2 linked regions of the Stegostoma tigrinum genome follow. The protein of the gene in region 2 interacts with the protein of the main gene of each other region in a pairwise test. Links are inferred from orthologs where the notes say so. Each region holds a gene or a part of one and is shown on either strand. Other genes may lie near its edges.

Region 1 (7,487 bases), about 27 Mb from region 2:
GCCTGAACGAGCAGACACATCAGTGAAAGGGACAGATGGCAAATTGGTGGCAATGTGTGGAGAAGCATCAGAAGTGGAACAGGAGGCTTCTCCTGGCCCAGTGATGAGTTGGCTTCCAGCGGCCCAGCACGGCAGTCACGTCCTGGTGTGGCAGTCTTATCCTGTTTGTGTCTTCATGGTATCCCATTGTTCCTTAATCAGCTTTCTCTGACCCCCAGAACTGTTAACTGAACTGTGACGAGCTGTGTCCTAATTTTACATTTTTTAATTATTAAGTATGACTTCAGTCATTAATATAGGTGCCATGATGTCACGACCTAAAACATTTTTTACTGTATTTTTCATGTAAAAGTACATGTGACCATAAATTTCTATTCTATTCTATTTTATCTGCAGGGCAGTGGGCACACATCACCAGGAAGTGGTAACAGTGGTCACCTTGGTGGAATGGAACCCTTTCCTATTGAGGTACTCTGCTGCACTGATGTACTATGGCTTTTTCAGTGTGATGTATGTGCAGTTGATAGAGCCCTGTGACTGGGGGAAGCCAGCCATGCTGCTGAAGCCCATTGCCGAGACTTTGTCACAGGGAAATGAAATGAACCAGGGTGTTGAGGGACAGATGGCTTCGATCACTGGAAAACTGAGCGATCCAACACAGGTCCCCAGTGGTTCCTTGGAAGGATCCAGGCACATAGAAGTTAATCGTAGCTGTCACCTTCACATCCACCAAGAGAACATTGTCCTCACTCCTTTAGGTCCTGACTCAGCAGGTGGCACAGTTCAACCTCAGTGTTCAAGGAAAGTACAGAGTCTGCGCTGACACTGTGCCTCATTCATCCTGAGAAATTGGATTTAAGGACGAAAGTCTCTAGCTCTCCTGTGTCCCTGTGGGGCCCTTCAGCTATGACCTCTTCCTCTGCTGAAGGCTCTTTGCTGCCATAGTTGCTTGCTGTCACCTCTGGGCTTGCTGTGACTTTGGCTTACCCCCTATCTGCCTTTGTCTTCTGAGCACCGTGATGAGTACGTCTCCTGTGGCCATACCCATCACTCTTGCAGGCAATGACCAGTGTTGCGAACAAAAAGTACACAACAGATTCTTAGTCTGGAGAAGGCTCAGTGCTAACAAGCATTGCATGATGCTTGTAAATGTTCTTCCACCCCAAAAGGGAGGATCACCTATCGAATGGTCATAGCTCTTTAAGATAGGCACTTACTTGGTAAAGGAGCTGCACTGGCTAAGTGACAAACTCTTTTATTGATCTTCTGAAATATATGTCCCTGATTCATCTGTGGTTTTACCATAGGAAACCTATTTCTCTCTGTTTATTCTTTCTAAATTGGTTGTAACTTTGAACAATATCCCAGGTCAAGTCTTTGCAAATAAAGGAATTCATTAATTGGGGAAACATCAGTGAATCTCGTCTGAATTCTCTCTCCAGCCAATGGCATCCTCCTAAAGCATGGAGCCCAGAATTAAAACCAACATGCCCAGTAAAGTCAAAATGGTTTCAGAGATGATAGGCACTGCAGATGCTGGAGAATCTGAGATAATAAGTTGTAGAGCCGGATGAACACAGCAGGCCAAGCAGCATCAGAGAGGCAGGAAAGCTGATGTTTCGGGCCTAGACCCTTCATCAGAAATGGGGGGAAAGGAAGGGGGCTCTGAAATAAATACGGAGAGAGGGGGAGGCCCCTATTTCTTCCCAGATAGACTATCAATGCTCACAACACCAACTGCACAATTATACTGGTTTACATTTAAGGGGGGAGAAGCAAGTCATTTTTACACCAAAGTTTATGTGTCTTGTGTCACGAGATTGAGCCTGCCATATCTGCAGGCTAGGTGGATTAGTCATGGGAAATGCAGGGTTACAGAGATAGGGTCGGGGTGGGGGGGGAGAGTTGGCGGGAAGGGTTGGGTCTGTGTGGGATGCTCTTCGGACGGTTGGTGTGGACTCATTTGGCCAAAATGGCCTGTTTCCACACTACAATGACTCTATGTTGTCTAACACATAAACTGTTAAGAGGATATGCAATAAAGGTGTGAAACCTATATATAAAACAGTCCGATGTAACTCCCCCATACCTGGCAGAGAACAGGTGGAGGAAGAGGCAGCAATATACCTCGGCTTACTGCATCCCTCCATGTCCAAAGATGAGCAGGCAATTTACACAAAGGTCACTGGTTGATCTTCAATACACAGTTTGCGTCTTTCATGAGGGTGTACTAATTGTTTCAACCACTTCGGAAGGTTTCACCGTGGGGGAAACCTGTAAGCAGATGGATCATCAGATCAAAAAAGACCCAAGAGCTCTGTTTAAATGTTTTATTTAAGGTTTCCTTGGAAAGTAGGAAGAACAGCAGTCCATGATTTAAAAATATGCAACAATATGCTCACTATACAAAATAAAGGCAACAGTCTTCAAGCTGAGATAATGGGAACTGCAGATGCTGGAGAATCCAAGATAATAAAATGTGAGGCTGGATGAACACAGCAGGCCCAACAGCATCTCAGGAGCACAAAAGCTGATGTTTCAGGCCTAGACCCTTCATCAGAGAGGGGGATGGGGTGAGGGTTCTGGAATAAATAGGGAGAGAGGGGGAGGCGGACCGAAGATGGAGAAAAGAAGATAGGTGGAGAGGAGAGTATAGGTGGGGAGGTAGGGAGGGGATAGGTCAGTCCAGGGAAGACAGACAGGTCAAGGAGGTGGAATGAGGTTAGTAGGTAGGAGATGGAGGTGCGGCTTGGGGTGGGAGGAAGGGATGGGTGAGAGGAAGAACAGGTTAGGGAAGCAGAGACAGGCTGGACTGGTTTTGGGATGCAGTGGGTGGAGGGGAAGAGCTGGGCTGGTTGTGTGGTACAGTGGGGGAACAAACTGGGCTGGTTTTGGGATGCGGTGGGGGAAGGGGAGATTTTGAAGCTGGTGAAGTCCACACTGATACCATTGGGCTGCAGGGTTCCCAAGTGGAATATGAGTTGCTGTTCCTGCAACCTTCGGGTGGCATCATTGTGGCACTGCAGGAGGCCCAGGATGGACATGTCATCTAAAGAATGGGTGGGAAACCAAGCGGAGGGTTGGGGACCGCTTTGCAGAACACCTCCGCTTGGTTCGCAATAAACAACTGCACCTCCCAGTCGCAAACCATTTCCACTCCCCCTCCCATTCTTTAGATGACATGTCCATCATGGGCCTCCTGCAATGCCACAATGATGCCAGCCGAAGGTTGCAGGAACAGCAACTCATATTCTGCTTGGGAACCCTGCAGCCCAATGGTATCAATGTGAACTTCACCAGTTTCAAAATCTCCCCTTCCCCCACCGCATCCCAAAACCAGCCCAGTTCGTCCCCTCCCCCCACTGCACCATACAACCAGCCCAGCTCTTCCCCTCCACCCACTGCATCCCAAAACCAGTCCAGCCTGTGTCTGTCTCCCTAAGCTGTTCTTCCTCTCACCCATCCCTTCCTCCCACCCCAAGCCGCACCTCCATCTCCTAGCTACTAACCTCATCCCACCTCCTTGACCTGTCTGTCTTCCCTGGACTGACCTATCCCCTCCCCACCTCCCCACCCATACTCTCCTCTCCACCTAGCTTCTTTCCTCTCCATCTTTAGTCTGCCTCCCCCTCGCTCCCTATTTATTCCAGAACCCTCACCCCATCCCCCTCTCTGATGAAGAGTCTAGACCCAAAACGTCAGCTTTTGTGCTCCTGAGATGCTGCTGGGCCTGCTGTGTTCATCCAAGCTCACATTTTATTATCTTATAACAAAGTGTGGAGCTGGATGAACACAGCAGGCCAAGCAGCATCAAGGGAGCAGTCGTGATGCTCCTTGGCCTGCTGTGTTCATCCAGTCTTCAAACTGAAACGATTTCAGCATCACAAGTTCCAAAACAGAAAGACTGAAAAATGAAAATGGAAGCAAGATGTCCCTATCAATAAACTGTCATTGTCTGAGCAGGAAACGTACCCAGGCCACACAAGCATCGAATTGGAACCACTGGACCACAAAGGAAACTGCAAACATTTCTAAGGTTGCTAAAAATAACCTAAGAAGAAATGGGAGATAACAAAATGTGAAGCTGGATGAACACAGCAGGCCAAACAGCATCTTAGGAGCACAAAAGCTGACGTTTCAGTCCTAGACCCTTCATCAGACAGCTCCATCTGAACTTGCTATCAATATGGTAGTGGCTGATTCCCTGTCTTAACTCCACCTTCCTGCACTACCCCAACATAAAATCAGCAATAGGTTTTTGGCTGCTAAAGCATGCTCCACCACTCAATCTTATCTGTTTCTAACGTCAGGGCAGATAAATGATAATAAAGCGCAATTTATGATTTTCTCTTGTTGGTGCTGTCGACACGTCTCACTCATGTAGTCACAAATGGCTAATGCTGAGGAAACCGGGAACTCCACCACCACGTGCTGGTTGAGCTTTACGAGAAATTGTTACACCACGGAAACTTGCCGGGGATGACGAGAGATATCGCGCTCGATGACGTCTTTAGAAACGCCAGATTGGGGGGTCGAAAACTACAATTCCCAGCGTGCACTGCGGCTAAACGGCCGCCTTCCGCCGGAAGTGGCTTGAGCGTGGACCGGGACTGGCAGCGGGTTTGCGTCCAAACTCGGGGGGAGCAGAGCGCCTTTTCCGCGCGGCTACAATCCTACTCCGCCGGGACCGACATGTCCGAGGAAAGGTTTACAGCCGCGTCCAAAAGGAGCTCTGGATGCGCCAGGTGAGCGATCGAGGGGCGGCAGAGGCAGCGGCGGCGGGGTGTGCACGGCCTCTGACTGCGGGAGCGCAGGGAACAGTGTGCGTGCACACCCTCACTACCCGTCATCCTGCCTACAAGCTGCAAGTCTCAAAACCCACAATCAGGGGCACCCACCCACCCTCTCTGATATCGCTGGAGGACGAAGCTTTTGCTTTGGTTGCTTCCAAATATAGTCCAGCCACCAGGGAGCGCGGAGAGTCAGGAATGGCATTCATTTTAATGCACGGCGTCTTGCGCTTAAGGGAGATGAGTTGATGGTGTGCTAACTGACACATGGGGGATGCAATATCATTGCTCTCAAAGGAACACTGTTCAGGCAGGGACAGGTCTGTAGCCTCGATGTGCTCGAGTGCAGAAACTTAGGGTGTGACAGGGAGGTGGTGGGATTCACTGCTGGTCAAGGAGTGAATTACAGCAGTAAGAAGGGATGCTATCTTAGAAAGTTCCTCAATCAAAACCATATGGGTAGAATTTAAAAAAAACAAAATGGTGGTATACCATAGCCCCTGCCCCCCCCCCCCAAACAAAACAGTGTCAGGTAGGGATAGAAAGACATACACGGGGGCAATCTCAGCTGTGTCATGAATGCTAGAGTAAATATAGTAGGGGATTTCAACTTCTCCAAGGTTAGCTGGGATAGAAAGTGTGAAAGTCTTGAAATTCTTATAATGTACTGTTGAGAACTTTTTAAGCTAGCGCACACAAAGTGCTGCAAGTGCTACCCCTGACTTAAGTTTAGGGAATGAAGCAAGAAAGTGATGGATGTATCAGTTGGAATATTCCAGTGATGATTACCATAATTTGGTAAGACTTGAGGTAATAATGAATAGAGTCAAGGATGTTGGAAATAAAGGTTCTGATTTGTGGGAAGGTGAATTTTAATAATAGCATCTGTCCAAAGTAGACTGGGAGCAGCCACTTGTGGGAAAATGCACATTAGAGTGGTAGGAGCCATTCAAAAGAGTAGCGTGAGAGTGCGTGGCCATCTTTTGCCTGTAAATGTAAAAGGTGGGAGCAGCAAGTCCAGAGAATCCCGGACACTGACAGGCAATCTGTGTGGGGAGTTGGTAGATATGGCTGAAGTTTTAAATGATCTAACAAGGTATAGAGCTGGGTGAACACCACAGGCCAAGCAGCATCCGAGGAGCAGGAAAGCTGACCTTTTGGGTCTAGACACTTCTTCAGAAATGGGGGAAGGGAAGAGGATTCTGAAATAAATAGGGAGGGGGAGGGAGGTGGATAGAGGTGAAGATAGGTGGAGAGGAGATGGACAGGGTTGGAGCTGGTAAAGTTGAGTGTAGGTGGGGAGTTAGGAAGGGCATAGGTCAGTCCAGGGAGGATGGACAGGTCAAGGAGGTGGGATGAGGCTGGGAGGTGGGTGATGGGGTGAGGCTTGAAGTGGGAGGAGTGGATAGGTGGGAGGAAGGAAGGCGGGGATGAGCTGGGCTGGTTTTGGGATGCAGTAGGGGGAGAGGAGATTTTGAAGCTTGTGAAGTCCACGTTGATACCATTGGGCAACAGGGTTGCCAAGTGAAATGAGATGATGTTCCTGCAAGCTTCGGGTGGCATCGTTGTGGCACTCCAGGAGGCCCAGGATGGACATGTCGCCTAAGGAAGGGGGAGTTGAAATGGTTCACGAGTGGGAGGTGCAGATGTTTGACGTGAACCAAGCATAGGTGTTCCACAGAGCAGTACCCAAGCTTCCGCTTGGTTTCCCTGATGTAGAGGAGGCTACATTGGGAACAGTGGATACAGTATACCACATTTAGCAGATGTGCATGTGAATATCTGTTTGATGTGGAAGGCCTTCTTGAGGCCTGTGATGGAGGTGAGGGCGGGAGATGTAGGGGCAGGTGTAGCAGCTCCTGCAGTTGCAGGGAAAGGTGGTGGGGAGTGTGGAGTAGACGAAGGAGTCACGGAGAGAGTGGTCCCTCTGGAAAGCAGGTAAGGGTGGGGAGGGAAAACTGTTTTTGGTGGTGAAGTTTTAAACGGGTGTTTTTCATTTATATTCATTATAGAGAAAGATGAAGCAGAAATAGAAATTGGGATGGGGACTGGGATATATTTGAATGGATTATCATTTGAGGGAGGAGGTTTTAGTGGGCTTCAAAGGGATGAAACCCACATCGCGCCCAGATGAGATGCAGCACAGACTCCTTTGAAAAGTAATGGAGGAGACTGAAGGGGTTCTGCCATTAATTTTCAAATACTCTGTGGCCACAGGAGGGATTGCCAGATTGAAGGGTGGCTAACATTATTCAGGATGGCTGGTAGGGATAAACCAGGAAGCTGCAGGCCATGAAGTCTACCATCTGTGATAGGGAAATTTTTGGAAATTTTCTCTGTATGGAGAGGCATGTCTAACAAATTTAATTGATTTTTTTTCTAGTCGGTGACTAAATGTGCAAGTGTACTTAATGAAATCTACATCGGCTTCACTAATGCTCCTGACAAGATCTTACCTGACAGTCTGTTTAAGAAGTTTAGAGCCCATGGGATTCGGGGCAGTTTGGCAAATTGGATTTAAAACTGACTGAGTGGCAGGAAGCAGAGGGTGGTGGCTGCAGGATGTTTTTATGATTGATAGGGTTTGGTGTGGGGTCCCTTGCTGTTTGTGGTGTGTATTATTGATCTAGACGTGGACATTAGTTGTTAATAATAAGTTTACAGATAATATACAAATTAGTTGGGCGGAAAGTAGGA
Region 2 (7,930 bases):
GGCAGTATGTCAGCATTCAGGTGTCTGCTGGTTAAAGCATTTCAGTCTTTTGCTTGGTTGTGGTTTCAGCGCTATTCTTTTGTGGGAGGAGTGTTTGTTTTGTTTAATGTTAGATTCAAGTTGAACTTTGTAGCTTTAAGTTTATCACAGGGCTTTAATATTTAGAATACAAAGTATTGTTACCTTTGGCAGAGAAAAAAAAATCCTGAGAATTCAACATGTGCAACAAACAACCACTAATTTTTCTTTACAAAACATTTGTGCTAACAAAGTTTATCACTTCCTAATCTGCTTAGATTAGTCATCTTGGATTCTGTATGATGCTTGTCAGCAAATATTCTTTTCCTATCCCTTCTTGATATCGTTCATGAGATCCAGTTTGAAAGCGCATTGATAAAAATCTTATGTTCCTCGTGCAAAAATACTTTGTGAATTATGGTAGTTCGAGATGAAGACTTCATCATCCTCCCTTGATCTACTTTGGGAACGCGCATCTCATAAGATGATAGTTTGCACCGTGTTAGTTGACTCTGTTAAGCATTGCCCTAGTCTAACCCAGTGGCCCAATTCTGGCTTGTGCATTTGCTGCAGAGGAAGACAGTGGACTGAGAAAGTGCATGATTCAATGCCCTCTGTTTTTTCTGGACTCTCGTCTCAGCCAGCTGAGCTTGGTGTTTTTTTTAATTGTCTCAAGTGATGCCCTTCCAGTGAGCCTCCAGAGGGTCATGGCTGTCAGCAAGAGTCTCCCCATCATCGCTATGTGCTATCTTCATATTTCGATCGCCAGCAGGGATCTGAGATTTTTTTTCGGTACATCTTGGTAAGATTTTCTTCAGGACCACTTTTTGACTTTCAGGGCAACTTTTTTATTCTCACTCCTTTATTAGAAGATGTAACAACTTCTTTTTGTGTTGAGTTTATTTAAGGATTTTCTTCTTTAGACAGATAAACAAGCATAAGCACCAAAAATTAATATGCATGTCATACATTCCAAGTTCAAATATTTGAAAATTAAAAGGTTTTTAATTTATTGCAAATAAATCTTCCATATTGTGTTTTTATGCATTCACAGTATTAAATAGTTAAATGTATATCTTATGTAAGTATGATGCAGCATGAATTGTGATTTTACAGGAATTATTCCTGTCACTTGGAAAATTGTAGCAGCTTCCTGAAAACTTAGGTAAACATTGAATGTAGGTTGCTGACTATCATCGAGTGAAATAGTTTATAAGTCATCTACCTATTTGTCGTCTTTGCCTCAATAAATGAGAAATATTTAAGGTCTCAATGCTTTCCCATCACAAAAAGCTGTCTTGTATACATCCTAAGACATGTTGTGTTTTGCGTCCTCGTCTGTGAACAGTCGTTTGATTGCCTTGACAGTGCTGTTTTGAGTTACACGATGTGCCTACCCTTTAATTACTGGATAAACAGGCATTCTGATCTGCTGCCCTGCTCACTCTTCCCTATATACTCTCCTATTTCTTCTTAGCCTCCAGTCTCCAGCAGGTTGATACCCAGGATTTGCTCCTCCATCCACCTTGCTGCCAGTGCTTGGGTTCTGCTACTCTAGCTCATGACCAGCATTCTGGTTCTTTGTTCACACTTTCTATCTGGCCAATACGTGAGCTGTGTGCACTCCTAGCAGATTCTTAGGATGTTTGCAACTTATTCCCACCAGTGCCCATCTGACATTGTGCCCTGCTGTCTTCTCGCTGTACTCCTTGCACGCTGGTGGTTGACCCCACTGCTGTTAGTGCTCACCTTGTTGAATAATCTACTTCTCTGACCTTGTGAAATTCATATTCATAGATGCCTGGGACTGGCCGTGATAATTTGTTTTGCTCCCTCAATTGTGCGTTCCTTCCCTTCAAACTTTTTCCCATCACAAATTCCTGCAAAAGCAGGAAAAAAGGAATGCCTGATTGGAGCAGCTCTAGCACCCACTATGATTGGAGGAACTTTTCCTCACACATTCTGCCTCCATATAGGCTTGGCCATTGCTGTGATTGAACTTCTCTTCATTTTGGGAGGCTTTCAAGCACTATATTTGTCCAGTGGCCCCATGTATTTTCAGCACTGGCGTTTTTGTAACAAAGGTATAGATGCCCAGGAAGTTGTGACTTAATGACCGGTTTGCGATACAGGAATCTTTGGGTATGTGGCTGTCATCCATTTGATAAACATGGCTAACCAGTGTAGACACATTGGCTTTGCAATAAATGTATGCTGATGAAGTTGGCTTGCTCCAGCATCTCTAAGGTTGTGACCTGCCTCTGCATAGACGTCGTGGCGACAAATCAGCGATTGAACCAATACAGTGTGGAGCTGGAGGAACACAACAGGTCAGGTAGCATCAGAGGAACAGGAAAGTCAATGCTTCGGGTTTACGCCCTTTATCAGAAGTGATGGATGTCGACCCGAAGCATTGACTTCCCTGCTGCTGGAATGCTGCCTGACCTGCTGTATTCCTCCAGCTCCACACTGTATTGACTCTGACTCCAGCATCTGCCGTTCTTGCTACTATCGAGAATCTGAGACTGGAGATGGAAACTGTTCAGCTGCTTCCCCGCCCTTGAATGAGCAGTAAATGCTTTGTTTGTGGTGTCTCTGTCCTAAGAATGAATTTATGAGATGAAAACAAAGCAGACTTCAGCAAAAAACAGCTGCTTGTATAATTTTTTTGACACTGAATGATTAATTTCCTACCATAACTATTTAAGTATCATTAAATAAGCAACATTGTGAGTTTTTAGATTTATTGTGTGAAGTAATTAGAATATTTGTAGCAATGCGGTATCTAATTCATCATCCTTATGATGGCGCATGGCTTGTGTTACTGCTGGTGGTTTTACCTGATCGATCATACTTTGGAGATAATTTGGGGTATTTCTCTGAGTCCCTTTACCTTGTGCTGAATATATTTACATGTTTTAGAAGCTGTGGAATCAGATTGTCCAGTTGTCACAGCTGACTCAATGTTGGGTGTGGTATCTTGTAATTTAAATCATGCTCTTACATGTCTTTATGATCTCTGCTTGTCTATGTGAAATCTGTTGAATAATATCGAATTCTTCTTGTTCTGTGTTAGTGAGTAGAAGTTTGCACTTTCCCATGGGATGAGTCTGCAGTGGGCGTTATTCCTAAGCTCATCTGCACCATCTTGTGATTATTCTGAAAAATGACCTTGTGCTAAGTTATCTTTTAACTTGATACTGGGAAATATTTCTGCAGATGGTTGTCTGAATAATTATTCAATGATGGTGTCTCTTTGTCTCAGTTATTTGCAGATTCAAATGTTCTGGTCAGCATCTTGCAGAATTATTTTTGTGTATTTCAGATGATGATGCTGTCTTATAGCATGAAGAAACTGTTGCTCCCAGCTTTATTATTCTGTCAGTATCCCAGTTTTGTCAGCATACTTTCTGATTTTCAAGTCCTGAATTTTTTTTCCAACGTTGAGACTTGTTCAAATACATTACTGCTAATGTATACAACAGAGCCACTCCCTGCTTGAAGAGGTGACCAATTTGCAGGTGGCTCAGTAAATATGAAGAATTTCTTAGGAGATTCAGATACAAAACATTGCAGTTTTCTGAATGATTTGTGAAGAAATGTCACAGGACTCGAACTTTAGCTCTCTTCCTCTCTCCACGTATGCTGCCAGACCTCCTTAAGTTTCTCCAAGACATACTTGAAGCCTGTTTGATGTTCCTACCAACTGATGCAGTATTTCCTCTCCATAGGTTTGTACATAGGTATCATGTCTAGACAATTTATTCATCTACTTCCCCCAGACCCATTCTTCCCATCTTTTTTCCTTTATCACTGAGTACTCAACGAGGTATCCCGGTGATGATTTATGAATAAAGTACACATGGAACGTTACAGAATGAAAAATCATTGCTCCATACATTTTATGTGTCTTGTAATGTATATTATTTGTAATAATTTGGAAGTAGAACAAGTAATAATCAGGAGCAATAACATGATGATGGCTGCATTTCAGAACTATTTCATTAGCAACAAAAGCGTTGGTTCATCTTGAGTTTGTGGAATCCATGAATACATACATTTGGTTAGAAATAAAGAAATGATATCTCCTTAGAAAGTTGCAGTTTGTTTGTGACAGCTTCAGTTTGATGCAGCAGTTTCACTTTGCGGCGATTATGCAATGGTAGTCTGAAAACAGCCAAACTTCAAAGTATGAGTCTGTGTTGATTACAGTTGTGTTTCTCTAGACTTTACTAGTGTTTGTGAAGATATATTTCAAAGAAATACAGACGTCATTCTTGAAGGTTCACCTCCGTGTGTATTAGGTTATATTACGTCGGGTGTTATCTTTGGTCACCAGGATCGACCAGAGGAGAATAAAGTCTTGACGTCTGGCTAGACCATGTGATAGATGGTTGAACCAGTTGTGCAACAGACACATGTATTGTTATCACTCAAGAACTCCTTTGGCCTAGCGTTTCAGATTCCTTTCAGCACTTTGAAGCTTTCTTCTTAGGTCCCTTGTGTGAGTGCAAGACAATAATTCCCCCTTTTTTTTCTCTGCATCAAATGCCTATGTCTGTGCTTGCTTTTGTTTGACGCAGTCCTGATTAGATTAATGGGGCTGTCATAAACTTTAGTACTTGAACTTATTGCTTCTTTGTTGTTTCTATCTGCAAAACTGCCAAGGCTAAACGTTCTTGTTTTCCTGTTATTCAGGAAACTTCATTGTCATGAGAGCAGTTCTGTTGAGGGAGATTATCAGATTTCAAGCATTTAGCATTTTCCAGTTTACTGCTTTCAATGATCAGCAAAACATCCCCTCCCGCACTGAATATTTAAGTGAGGAACATTGAACCTGACGTAGCATTTTTTTTGATGAGAATGGAACATTGTTGCTTGTCAGTGTTACAATGGAATCTGTATGGGAAATCACCTTCTGAGAGGTTGTAGACTTGTTTGCCAAGTCAGTGTGTTTGATTGCAGACATTTTGACTCCGTGCAAGGTAACATCATCAGTGTACCTACGGTGTAGTGTTCTTCTGTCCCACTTGTTATTTATATGCCTTTGTTGGGGTGATTGACATTACTTCTGGTTCTATTTTTCAGTAATTTTGTATATTGGGTCCAGTTCAGTGTGTTTGTTGCTGGACTACTGGTTGGAATGCCAGGCCTCCAGGAATTCCCTGGCATATCTCTATTTGGCTTGTGCTATTACGGATGTTTTGTCCCAGTCAAATTCATGTCCTTCTTTGTTGGTGTGTCTTGAGACGAGTGAGAATTTGTCGTGTCTCTTGGTGACTTGTTGGTGTACCCTTATTGTCAGTTGTCTCCCGGTTTGGCCGACGTAATGTTTCTCACAGTCTCTGCATGGTATTTTGTATGTTATGTTAGTTTTATTGGTTGTGCGTCTGGGATCCTTTATGTTCATATGTAGCTGTTGCAGGGTGGTTGTTGGTTTGTGGGCTACCCTGATACCTAGGGGTCTGAGTAGTCTTGTGATCATCTCTGACATGTCGCTGATGTACGGTAGGGTGACTAATGTGTCTGGCCATGTCATGTCTTCTCATTGTGGTCTGTCACAGATGTAATGGTGAATTGTGCTTTTTGGGCATCTGTTCCTTTTAAAAACTCTGTATAAGTGCTCTGGTCTGCTTTGCGCAATTCTGTGAATAATGTTCTTATGCAGCTCTGTTGATGGATGTTGGGCTGGTTTCTGGCATTGCACTACGCAGTCTTCAGAATGAAGATGATGATCTTGACCATTATTCTGATTACACTTAATTCATCAATTCCTGCTCTGTTGGTTCATCAGCACTTGCATGTGCGTATATGTGCACTTCTTCACCTGTTGCCTTCAGCTCTGGAACTTGCTGTTTAAAATTCCTTCTCTCCATCTCTCTTGGCTCCTTTTAAACGACCTGTTGGCCATCTACCCTTATATTGCCTTATGTTATTCAGTGTTAATTTTGCTCTATAATAATTTTGTGTAGTGCTTTGAGACTTCAAGTTAGGATAAAAATTTGTGTCCTTGGGCTTATTGTGCATTAAAAAGAAGAATTTGGTTGTGTATAGGTTTCATCAAGACAAACTTCACTCTGCTCATTGAACATAGCTGTTGCTTGCTTCAATGGATTTGTCGAGTATTTTTCCTGTAGATTGTGACCAGTTTTCATTTTTAAAATTTTGGAATTGATGTAGCATACTCTTGAAAATAAATTCAGCTCCTTATAGTTAGTGTTTTCCCTCCTTAATTTAAACTTGAAGTATTCTTATTCTTCAAATATGTGTCAGTAATTATGTTGTTAGGCCATATTAATGACACAGCTGTTCTCTTTGTCTGCAGATCCTTGCACTCAAGATATCTTTGGAAAGAAAAGGGACCAAGCAGGTATCTCAATAATTAACACTTCACTTCCGAACTGTCAGCTGAAAAGTGTCTTCTCGATTGGTACCAGAGGGATTGTGTATTAGTGTAAAGTAATGGCTCTTGATCCTTTTGGATTGTTCTGTTTCAGTATTTGATTTTTGTTCTTTATGACACAGTATTCTATTATTTAGTTATGTTGACAATGTCGTAGATCCTCATTTCCTTTGGAATCTGTGAGTGGAATCCTGTGCAGTCACTAATCCTGAATAATTATTTTAAATAAGTCATTATAAGAAACACCAAGGTATCAGAATGTGATATATTCAGCTTGCATTTTTAAAACTGATAGAATTGAAATAGCATCTCACCAAACTAACTTGTGAACAATACATGTCATGACCTTGAATCGTATAGTGTACTGGAAATAAAGCTGCACTATTCATCAGGTGTGAAATAGGAGGACTGTAATCTTCACAATGGTTAACACCTGACTGTAACTACAATGTAAGATTAAAGAAATTCACACCAGGTTTCAACAATGAAAAAGAAACAAACATACCTTATAAGTTGTGGCAAAACCAACTATATATCTAAACTATACCCGTTTAAATCTAAGCATACTCGTTCATTCACATGTGTAATGGACAAAACAGACGAGATCTACCGAATTTTCTTTCAGGAATGTCATTGATACCAAGTATAGATCAAAAAGCAGCACCAACTCTGTCAATCAGAGTCCAAACTACGAAAGGAAATGAGGTAACTGGCTCTCAGTTCTTTTTTGGCGATGGTATCACATTGTTGTCAATGTGGCAGTCTTCAGTTCTGCAGCAGGTGATTTGGACCTCTGTCTTGCTGTAATTTAGCAGTTCTTCTTTGAAATTTTTTGTGGATTATTTGTTTTTTAATCACAGAGCGAACTTGCCGTATGCCTTAAGTCCCAACAGCTCTTTCTTTCCTCTTAATTCTGTGACAAACTGTACTAAAACCATTCCATGTGCTATTGCAGGCACTTACTTCTTCCCTTAAAGCCACCTGATGTCAGTGTGTCTGGCAAAAGTATCAAATGCAACTTCTTAAAAAAAAATTATGTTGATCGAATTGTGAATCAAAACAACTAATTTACAAAATAATCAAGTGTGAAGCTGGATGAACACAGCAGGCCCAGCAGCATCTCAGGAGCACAAAAGCTGACGTTTCGTTCCTAAGTAAGGGTCTAGGCCCGAAACGTCAGCTTTTGTGCTCCTGAGATGCTGCTGGGCCTGCTGTGTTCATTCAGCTTCACACTTTATTATCTTCGGATTCTCCAGCATCTGCAGTTCCCATTATCAATAATTTACAAACCTCTGTTTCCCGGTTTATGTTTCCAAACAAAATATGAGTGGCCCTTACAGTGGTCTGATCAGGAATGTTGATGTTCATCACGTAAAGGGGAGATAATGATGAAAAGGTATCTTCACCCTGAAGGTGCCATTTAGAACTGTTTCACATGTAAAACAGAAAAGGTGATGATTAATTTCGGGGGCTTGCAGGAAATTATCAGAATTTGATACCAGGCCAGAA

What was found.
Region 1: the proteins of double-stranded RNA-specific editase 1-like (region 2) and interferon-inducible double-stranded RNA-dependent protein kinase activator A homolog A-like interact in binary tests that used the Homo sapiens proteins (3 or more experiments, as listed by UniProt). The link is inferred for Stegostoma tigrinum from reciprocal best matches to the Homo sapiens genes ADARB1 and PRKRA.

What each region holds. Positions count from the first base shown.
Region 1 is NC_081360.1:44,503,053-44,510,539, forward strand, and holds the start of interferon-inducible double-stranded RNA-dependent protein kinase activator A homolog A-like, read left to right. Parts: upstream 1-4,464; 5' UTR 4,465-4,479; coding exon 4,480-4,745; intron 4,746-7,487. UniProt on the Homo sapiens protein: Activates EIF2AK2/PKR in the absence of double-stranded RNA (dsRNA), leading to phosphorylation of EIF2S1/EFI2-alpha and inhibition of translation and induction of apoptosis.
Region 2 is NC_081360.1:17,594,547-17,602,476, reverse strand, and holds the start of double-stranded RNA-specific editase 1-like, read left to right. Parts: upstream 1-4,882; 5' UTR 4,883-4,921; coding exon 4,922-5,003; intron 5,004-6,343; coding exon 6,344-6,388; intron 6,389-7,930. UniProt on the Homo sapiens protein: Catalyzes the hydrolytic deamination of adenosine to inosine in double-stranded RNA (dsRNA) referred to as A-to-I RNA editing.